2 linked regions of the Xenopus tropicalis genome follow. The protein of the gene in region 1 binds, or shares a complex with, the protein of each later gene. Links are inferred from orthologs where the notes say so. Each region holds a gene or a part of one and is shown on either strand. Other genes may lie near its edges.

Region 1 (3,819 bases):
GCAAGACAAAAGTGTAGTGAATACACACCCAGCCCCCAATGTCTGCCCAACCCCCTTATGCCTGTTCTCCCTCTGACCAGCGCCTGACCCCTGAGGAGGAAAAATAGACCGTGGTCCCTGTGATCCCCTTCAGCCAGAGTCTGTGCCGGAGAACTGCCTTTTTGCTTGCTCTATTCAGGATGGAGAGCGGAGAATGGCCATGCGATCCGGAAGGAGAGAGTGAGCGCAGTGAAGAGAAGCGCGCGAAGAATGGCGCGAAGTAGCTGACGTCACGCGGCGAGCAGGAAGTGGAACGCATAGGTGGAACGCATAGGTGGAACGCATGGTGGAACGCAAGTGAATCGAAGGAACGGTAGAGTCGCATGGATGCCGTAGCTTGTAAGGTAATAGGCAGAGAAGCATGGTTGGAGGCAGAGGCAGGGCACAGACAGGCAAAGCTGAGCAGGGGGGATATGGGAACCAGGCTAAGGGGCAGCGCTGGGAGCATGGCTAAAAATGGAGAAGGCATAGTGGAAGAAAATAGGGGGGGGGGGTTGGTCGGGCTGGTAGCCTGCAGGGAGCCTGGCTACTAAGTTAAAGGCAATTTTAAAGCTGGATAGGGGCCATGGCACTTAGGAAACGCTGGGCAGCTTCTGCACTCTGTGTTCAGAGGCAGGGTATCTGCGGGGCTGTTCAGTAAAAACTTACGTGCCCCAGCGTCCTTAAATTATTCCCACGTAGGGGGAAGCCTGAATAGAGTGGCTCCTGTTGGAGACCTGTTGCCAGATTGAATCTGGCCGAAGAAATACTTGAAGAGAGAGATGATGATCCTGTCTCCTTGTGGGACACTAGAAAAAAACTGGCGAAGGCAGGAAGTACTGGGGGGTATAGCAGCAGGGAGGAGGGGTTAGCTCTCTTCTTCCTACTCTAGTGTCCTGCCTCCTGCTGGTACCTACTATACCCCATGGTCCCTGTGTCCCACAGACGACTGTTAGAGAAAAATACAATTGCAATACACTTGAGAATTGTCATGATTTGTTTAAAAATAAAAAAGGGTATGAATTTGCCGACAACAAAAAAGCAATGGTCATAAATACCATTGTGTCAACTGTTTGCACTGATATTTACCCAGGTCGTGACAAAGTCCGGCTATCTGAACACAAAGCATGTCCCTGTGGTTAATCTGAAGCTCTGGTTGTCTCTCGTGCAATGCCTGAACAAGACATCCAGCCAGGTATCCCACTCTGTAAAGTAAATCAAGAAATAATAAAGATGGTTCCACGGAATTGATTAACAACACAAGAGCATTTGGTTTAATTTGCCAGTAGCCTTCTCCAAAAGTTCTTATGGAAAAAGCACCCAACGTGGTCATAAAGAGATTGTTCATGGCAGCAAAAAGCACATACAGGTATGGGACCTGTTATCCAGAATGCTCGGGACCTGGGGTTTTCTGGATAAGGGATCATTCTGTAAATTGGATCTCCATAACTTAAGTCTGCTAAAAATCATTTTAATATTGAATAAACCCAATAGGCTTGTTTTGCCTCAAATAAGGATTAATTATATCTTAGTTGGGATCAAGTACAGGTACTGTTTTATTATTACAGAGAAAAGGGAATCATTTAACCATGAAATAAACCCAATAGGGCTGTTCTGCCCCCAATAAGGGGTAATTATATCTTAGTTGGGATCAAGTACAGGTACTGTTTTATTATTACAGAGAAAAGGGAATCATTTAACCATTAAATAAACCCAATAGGGCTGTTCTGCCCCCAATAAGGGGTAATTATATCTTAGTTGGGATCAAGTACAGGTACTGTTTTATTATTACACAGAAAAGGGAATCATTTTTAAAAATTAAACTTATTTGCTTATAATGGAGTCTATGGGAGATAGCCTTACCGTATTTCGGAACTTTCTGGATAATGGCTTTCCGGATAAGGGGCAGAACAGTGTGGCAATCATTCTCTCAGCATTATAGAGTGTAAGCTCTTTTGGGCAGGGCTCTCTTCACCTCTTGTATTGGTTATTGATTGCTTTATATGTTACTCTGTATTTCCAATGTATGAAACCCACTTATTGTACAGCGCTGCAGAATACGCTTTATAAATAAATGTTAATAATAATCTACCAAAGACTACACATACTGTATCTTGGGAACAGCAAAGGAGTTATCCAGGCTCCCAATCTATTAAGACAGATAACTACTGTTTCATTCTGGTTACGGTTTCCCTATTCCTTATCTCTCTTTGGCCAGCTGCTAAGCACTCAGGAAGTGAAACACTATTATAGCATCATGTTGCAGTTAGGAAACAAAAATAACAGTAAACCATAATGAGGAACCTCAAATACTTTTAAAGGCACACAAAGTCTTTGCGTAGGGACTTGCACAACCTCCTACAGACAGGAACACAATGGAGACCCCCTGGGTAAGGGGCAGCCATATTGGAAACCCCTGCTGTTAGGAAACAAGTGATAGATGCGAATAGAAGCATTTGTCCAGAGACACGCTGGCAGAAAACCCTGCAAAGAATTTTAATGATGTTGTCCAAATAAGTACTACCTGTAACCGTGAAGCACCTTTCCAGTTCATTTCTGGGTTATTAATGAAAAGCTTAAGTGACCTACATTGTTTCTCAACCAAAGGCTCCACTGCTCTAACTTCAGTGCATATAGTTCCACTCTTGGTTCTCACACAAACATTAGCGTGGAAAATAGTAAATATGCCTAATGTTGGTAAAGGGAAGGCAGAAATATGCCCTTATTTTCCCCAAAGGTGTAAAATATTGTATAAAAGGATAAGAGAGTTAATCATTACTATACCCAATGGAGTGCTCGAATCTGTTGTGAGAAGCCCCAGGGAAGACATAATAGGATCCACCGAGCTGTTTGATGTATCTCAGGCGCTGGAACTCAGGGGTGTCAATGATACGGACTAGCAGTGGGTGCAACTCAATGTGGCCATGGATTGGGTCATTGAACACCTGAAGAGGAAAATAAACAGGAATCAAGATAATTGGGCACTGACAGTTTTATGCAAAGAGCTAAAATGGCAGGAAATAACTTGTCCTGAAAAAAGAACCAGCTAAAAGATATTTGTTTATTCATTTGAAAAGGTCTCCGTTTCAAGTACGGACAGAAAGGAACAATAACTACAGCGGGTCTGCAAACTGTATTCTGGCAATTTCATATCAGTAACCAATCGCTGTTCATATGCTCCTATGTTGCCATCAAGTAAGCCTTTTTGGATATTTTTACTCTGCCCCTATGAATGAAGGCATTCATGCGACTTTCCAAAGCATAAAGGAACTGGCTGATCATGCCATTAGCTGTGCGCGTGCCAAATCTGGCAATATCCAACCAGCAAGCCCTTTAAAATCCAAGTCTGGGAAGGATTCTGTAGAGCACAGTGGGTAAAGGAGATACCCTTTATACCACTTCAATCCCATGCAGAAGTGGCATATAGATGTATCTATCTCTTTTAAAGGGTAACTCTGGCTTCGGAACTAAGATTTGTTAAAGGACACAACACAGAAACCCCTAATATCCCTATCACTGTAATCTGTTCCTTCAAAAAGTCTGAATAAATACTATTTGTATATGCTGAAATCCAGCTGCAAAACAGTTTTTCGCTTTCCGCGTCATTTGAAATCCTGGCAGGGGAGGGGGGACTAAAACATTGATGTTACAAATTGTAACAGCTTCTCCACAGCTTACAGACAGCATGCAGGAACTACATAACCCACAATGCATTGCACTGGGATGTTCCTTTCCTCATTGACACTATGTGTGCAGGGGATTGTGGGATTGTGAGGATACAGGCTGAAGGCAGGCGACTAC
Region 2 (4,281 bases), on another chromosome or scaffold:
TTCTTAAAATGGCTGTGACTTATCGCCCTGTCTGTCTTTGGGAGGGCCACATAGAACATAACTGTTCACTTAGTTTACTTTTGATCCTTATCAGGGAGGATAGATTTAAAAGCAAAGAAAAGTAGTGTTCTGGCTATGTTAGACATCTGCTCACTCCAGCCTTTATACATGCACATTTTTGGTTAACTATATTGAAAATATTTTTTTATTTTGCAAAGCCTACTTACCGAGTTTCATTTTTACAGTGAACCATTTCTTTAATGACCCCAGGTGGCAACCCTATTTCACCCCAATTACATATTATGCAGTCATAAAGCAGTGGCCCCAATCACATACTATCAGGGGTGCAACTGCATTGAGCAGAGTGGAAAAACTCACCTCAGGTGAAACGCGGGGGGTGGCAATAAGCCTCCTGGTAATTACTGGAAATTTGATTTATAAGAAGCAGGGCCGCTGCTGGCCAAATGGGTCACTAAGCAGAAATGTACTTTTGTGCCCCCTCCCCCAAATATTACGGAAGTAAAAATAAAATAATAAAAAAAAACACCTACTATAGGGGCCCCACACACAGTGCCCCCATAGACAATGCCCCCATAGTAAGTGCCCCCATAGATTGATTAAACTATCTGGGACAGCGGGATGCGCTATAAAAACCGGCGGGACAGTGTTGGGGGGTATGTTATAATATATAGAAATGTTTTTTTGAACAGCTGGGATGGTGCCCCCCTGGGAGTTGGTGCCCTATGCAGACTGAGTACTCTGCTTATAAGGAGCGGCGGCCCTGATAAGAAGAAATTCTGTCTCATCTAGTGCAGAGTTCTATTGCGCTCTCTGCGCTAGCAATACGGCCCCCCCAACTAAAAAAAACAGCGTGAAGAGGAGGGTGACTTCCCCAGGGCTGCACTAGGGACTGAAAAGCCCCTGCATATTATGCATTAGCCCCAAAGTAGCCCCCGGCATTTCATGTACACAGAGACCCAAACAGCCCCCCCCAGCCCAATAAATAGTGACTGTCTATGGCACCTTACAGCAGCCCCTCTGGCATTTGCCTGAACCCACAGATTGCCAGCCCAGGCCTACTAAGTCCCAACAAGAGATGACACAGTGGTACCAATATTAGTAAAGACGCCCCTACCAATCGCTTTTTGATACAGTGGCCCCAACAATTAATGCCATAGTGACCCCAAGTCTCAAAGGGTTGTTTGAAATTTTAGGGAGTAGGGAGTAAGTTCGTGTGCGGTAGAAGGAAGAGACAAGAGGTGTATTGTGGCAATGAGAAAGCCTGACAGGCAGAAAAAGAGAAAATGTGACAGCTGTATGAGGGCGGGGGCGCTGGGGAGACGAACCAGCGAAGGGAAAGTCATAAAGGGGAGACCTTGGAGAGAGGCGTGAGGGGGTGGAGCTAATAAGATATGTTGGCGCTGTTTTTGCTCGTCGTAGAACGTCCTAAACTGGCCGCCGTAGTTTCTTTGTAAACTACACTACCCATAATGCCACTCCGCTCTGTAGAAGAGGGAAAAGCGAGCGCGCAAGGTGGTGACGTGTAAAGTGAGCGCCGCCCAAGCGGCTGTAGTGAGGGGAGAACGTGAGAGCCAGGGACAGGAGGCGAAACGTAGGGGCCGGAGTGGGGGACAGCGCTGCAGGGAAGCAAGGAGCGAAACGAGGGAGAGGCCGAGAGGGACGGGCACGGAAGGACAAAGAAAGGGACCCTGAGTGCAGGACGCGAGTGAGAAGGACTCGGGACACCGACTGGTACAGAGTCGGGGAGAACAACCGACATACCGGTTACAGAAGTAAGTGGATATTTGGCGGATACATGCCTTATCAGAGAGGGGAGGCCTGACGCGGGGGCTGAGGTGCAGCAGGAGTGGGGCAGCGGCAGCCGCCGGGTCTGTGCGGGGAACTGCTCGGGCGCCAAGTGGTGACAGTGACAGCTAACGGGGCTGGCAGCACGGCCGGTCCTGTGTGGGGAAACTTTTTCCCTCAGGAGGCCCAAGTATAGAAGGGAGTTTCGAACGTTAGACTGTCACTGTAAGCAGCTACATACACATGTTCTGTAACTAACTTCTGCTACATTGGTTTAACAATCGCTAACAGTAGCGCAAAAAGGAACAGACAGTTGCAGGTTTCTATGGCAACTGATAGAAGTATTTAAATGTCTGTATGATTTGTTGCTTAGAATTGCAATTTCTTTCCTTAAGAAACATTGTCTATTTGGGTTTACATCCCATTTATTAACTCTTTGCTATTGTGACAAGGCCATTTTTGAGTTTGGGGATCCCATTTTTGTTCTGACTTATAGGTTAAGGAACCTTACACTGTACTGCAGCCAGAAGCCCTCTGGCATTTGGTGACCTGTAACTTGCATCCCACCTAAGGGATCCTGACAGTCGGAGTCAACCATGGAAGACTCATCGGCAGGGCAGCTATGAACTCCATTCATTTTTTTATTTACATGGGGGCCACTTGATCTCTAGTTCCTTCTCTGGGCATAGGTGGGCTTTGAATAGACAAGCCAGTAAGATGAAAAGCAATGGTGCTGGGAAAAGCTAGAAAGGTAAACAATCCAGGTATGAAGATATGTAGATGGGGATGTCCATCTGCTGTTGTGACCTGCAGCTCCCTGGGGCATGTTGGTAAAATGTAGTCGGGCAGATGGCAAGGATACATTTTGATATTGCTGGTTCCGAATAATAATGGTGAAGAAGGGAAATCCTTAACTTGTGGCTTTTATAATGAATGAGTTATGTTTTTGAATGACTTCTAGGGATGCCAGGTGCTGTAATTTAACAAAAGTTATTGTGGGCTTAGCTGCTTATGAGGATTGTAGCTCAGCAACAGTATGAGAACAGCGCAGCACTCTTTCAAACTCAACAGCCATTTCACTCCACTTTGCTTTGGAGGGGGGGGGGGCAGTGTGGTTTCCTTGGGCTAATGCACCCTGAGCACCCACGAGCTGGATTGTCAGTCTGTGTCACACAGGCAGATGCAGTGCTTCTGGGTGCAGGCACAGTTAGAATAGTTTTCAAGCCTACTGACGGATTGTCTGTGGGGCCTTACCCTAAGGGCTGGTATGATGAGCCTATTAATGATTTGACAGGGACACAATACTCTCTATAATATACAACTAAAAAACTCAAGGATGCAGTTTGTGTGATGAACAGTATATGCAACATCTATCAGAACACTGGTGCAAGACCAGAAAGGGAGCATTTAAAGGACAACTAAACCCTAAAAATGAATAAGGCTAGAAATGCATTTTATATAATAAACTGACTGCACTAGCTAAAACTTTCAGCATCTCTATAGTTGTAATGATACAGGTCTTTACAGTTGTCACGGGAGCTCCCCATCTTGGATTCTGTCTGGGATAGTGCACATGCTCAGTGGCCTCTGAGAAGCCAAGATTAGGGGTTGTCACAAATTATCAAGCAGAAAATGAGACTGGCCTGTCATATAAACTGATGCTACAGGGCTGATGATAAAATCCTGATGCTAATTGCACTGGTTTCAGAGCTTCCATGTTATGTGAATCTGAATGAATTACTTATCATTTATATTCTATATATACAGTATATAGTGAGTGGGCCCCTAAGCTCAGTAAATGAAAGCAGCACAGAACATGTGCAGGGAATCGGCAGAAAAGAAGATGGGGGGGCTACTGGGGGCATCTTTGGGGGCACAGATCTTCCATACTAAAGGGCTGTGGTTGCCGTGAAAAAAATGCATAACATTTCTAGCCTATTTCTTAAGTTTGGCTTTAGTGCTACTTTAAAGGAGAAGGAAAGTCATTTTGGCATTTTACTGCCAATACATTCACCACATTAGTGCCACCTATAACAATATATTTATTCTGAAAAAAGCATTACCGTACCGAGTAAAGAGCCCTAGAAACTCCCTCCGTTTGGCTGCTTGGGTAGCAGGAGAAGGGAGAGAGCTGTGAAGACTCCCAGGAATGATGAATTTTTCTGAGAGAGGAAGTCAGATACCAAAGTACATGTATACACAAATGAAGACAAGAAATCCTGTGTTTCTTTTGATAGAGGACTCAGTGCAGCTTTTCTGTGAGTGCTTATGGCTGTATTTACATAGACCTTGCTGATAAAGCTTACTTAGTTTTTGCCTTTCCTTCTCCTTTAAGGAGTCTGAGTTTTCTCAAAATGTGCTTAGGGGAGCTCTCTCTTTAACCAGTCTTTAGTTCCCCTTTAATTGGTAGATTTAATTTGGCCATGTTGGCACTGGAAGTCTTTTAATAGCTTAGAAGAGCGGGTATCCTGAACA

The links.
Region 2: the proteins of samhd1 (region 1) and dcaf1 are in contact, whole or in part, in a crystal structure (PDB 4CC9), measured with the Homo sapiens proteins. The link is inferred for Xenopus tropicalis from reciprocal best matches to the Homo sapiens genes SAMHD1 and DCAF1. Residues at the interface, in NP_056289.2 of Homo sapiens: Ser616, Arg617, Val618, Gln619, Lys622; in NP_001336097.1 of Homo sapiens: Asn1090, Glu1091, Asp1092, Thr1114, Gln1116, Asn1132.

Annotation. Positions count from the first base shown.
Region 1 is NC_030686.2:42,463,731-42,467,549, reverse strand, and holds part of samhd1 (deoxynucleoside triphosphate triphosphohydrolase SAMHD1), read right to left. Parts: intron 2,964-3,819; coding exon 2,803-2,963; intron 1,224-2,802; coding exon 1,108-1,223; intron 1-1,107.
Region 2 is NC_030680.2:127,300,087-127,304,367, forward strand, and holds the start of dcaf1 (DDB1- and CUL4-associated factor 1), read left to right. Parts: upstream 1-1,450; 5' UTR 1,451-1,793; intron 1,794-4,281. UniProt on the Homo sapiens protein: Acts both as a substrate recognition component of E3 ubiquitin-protein ligase complexes and as an atypical serine/threonine-protein kinase, playing key roles in various processes such as cell cycle, telomerase regulation and histone modification.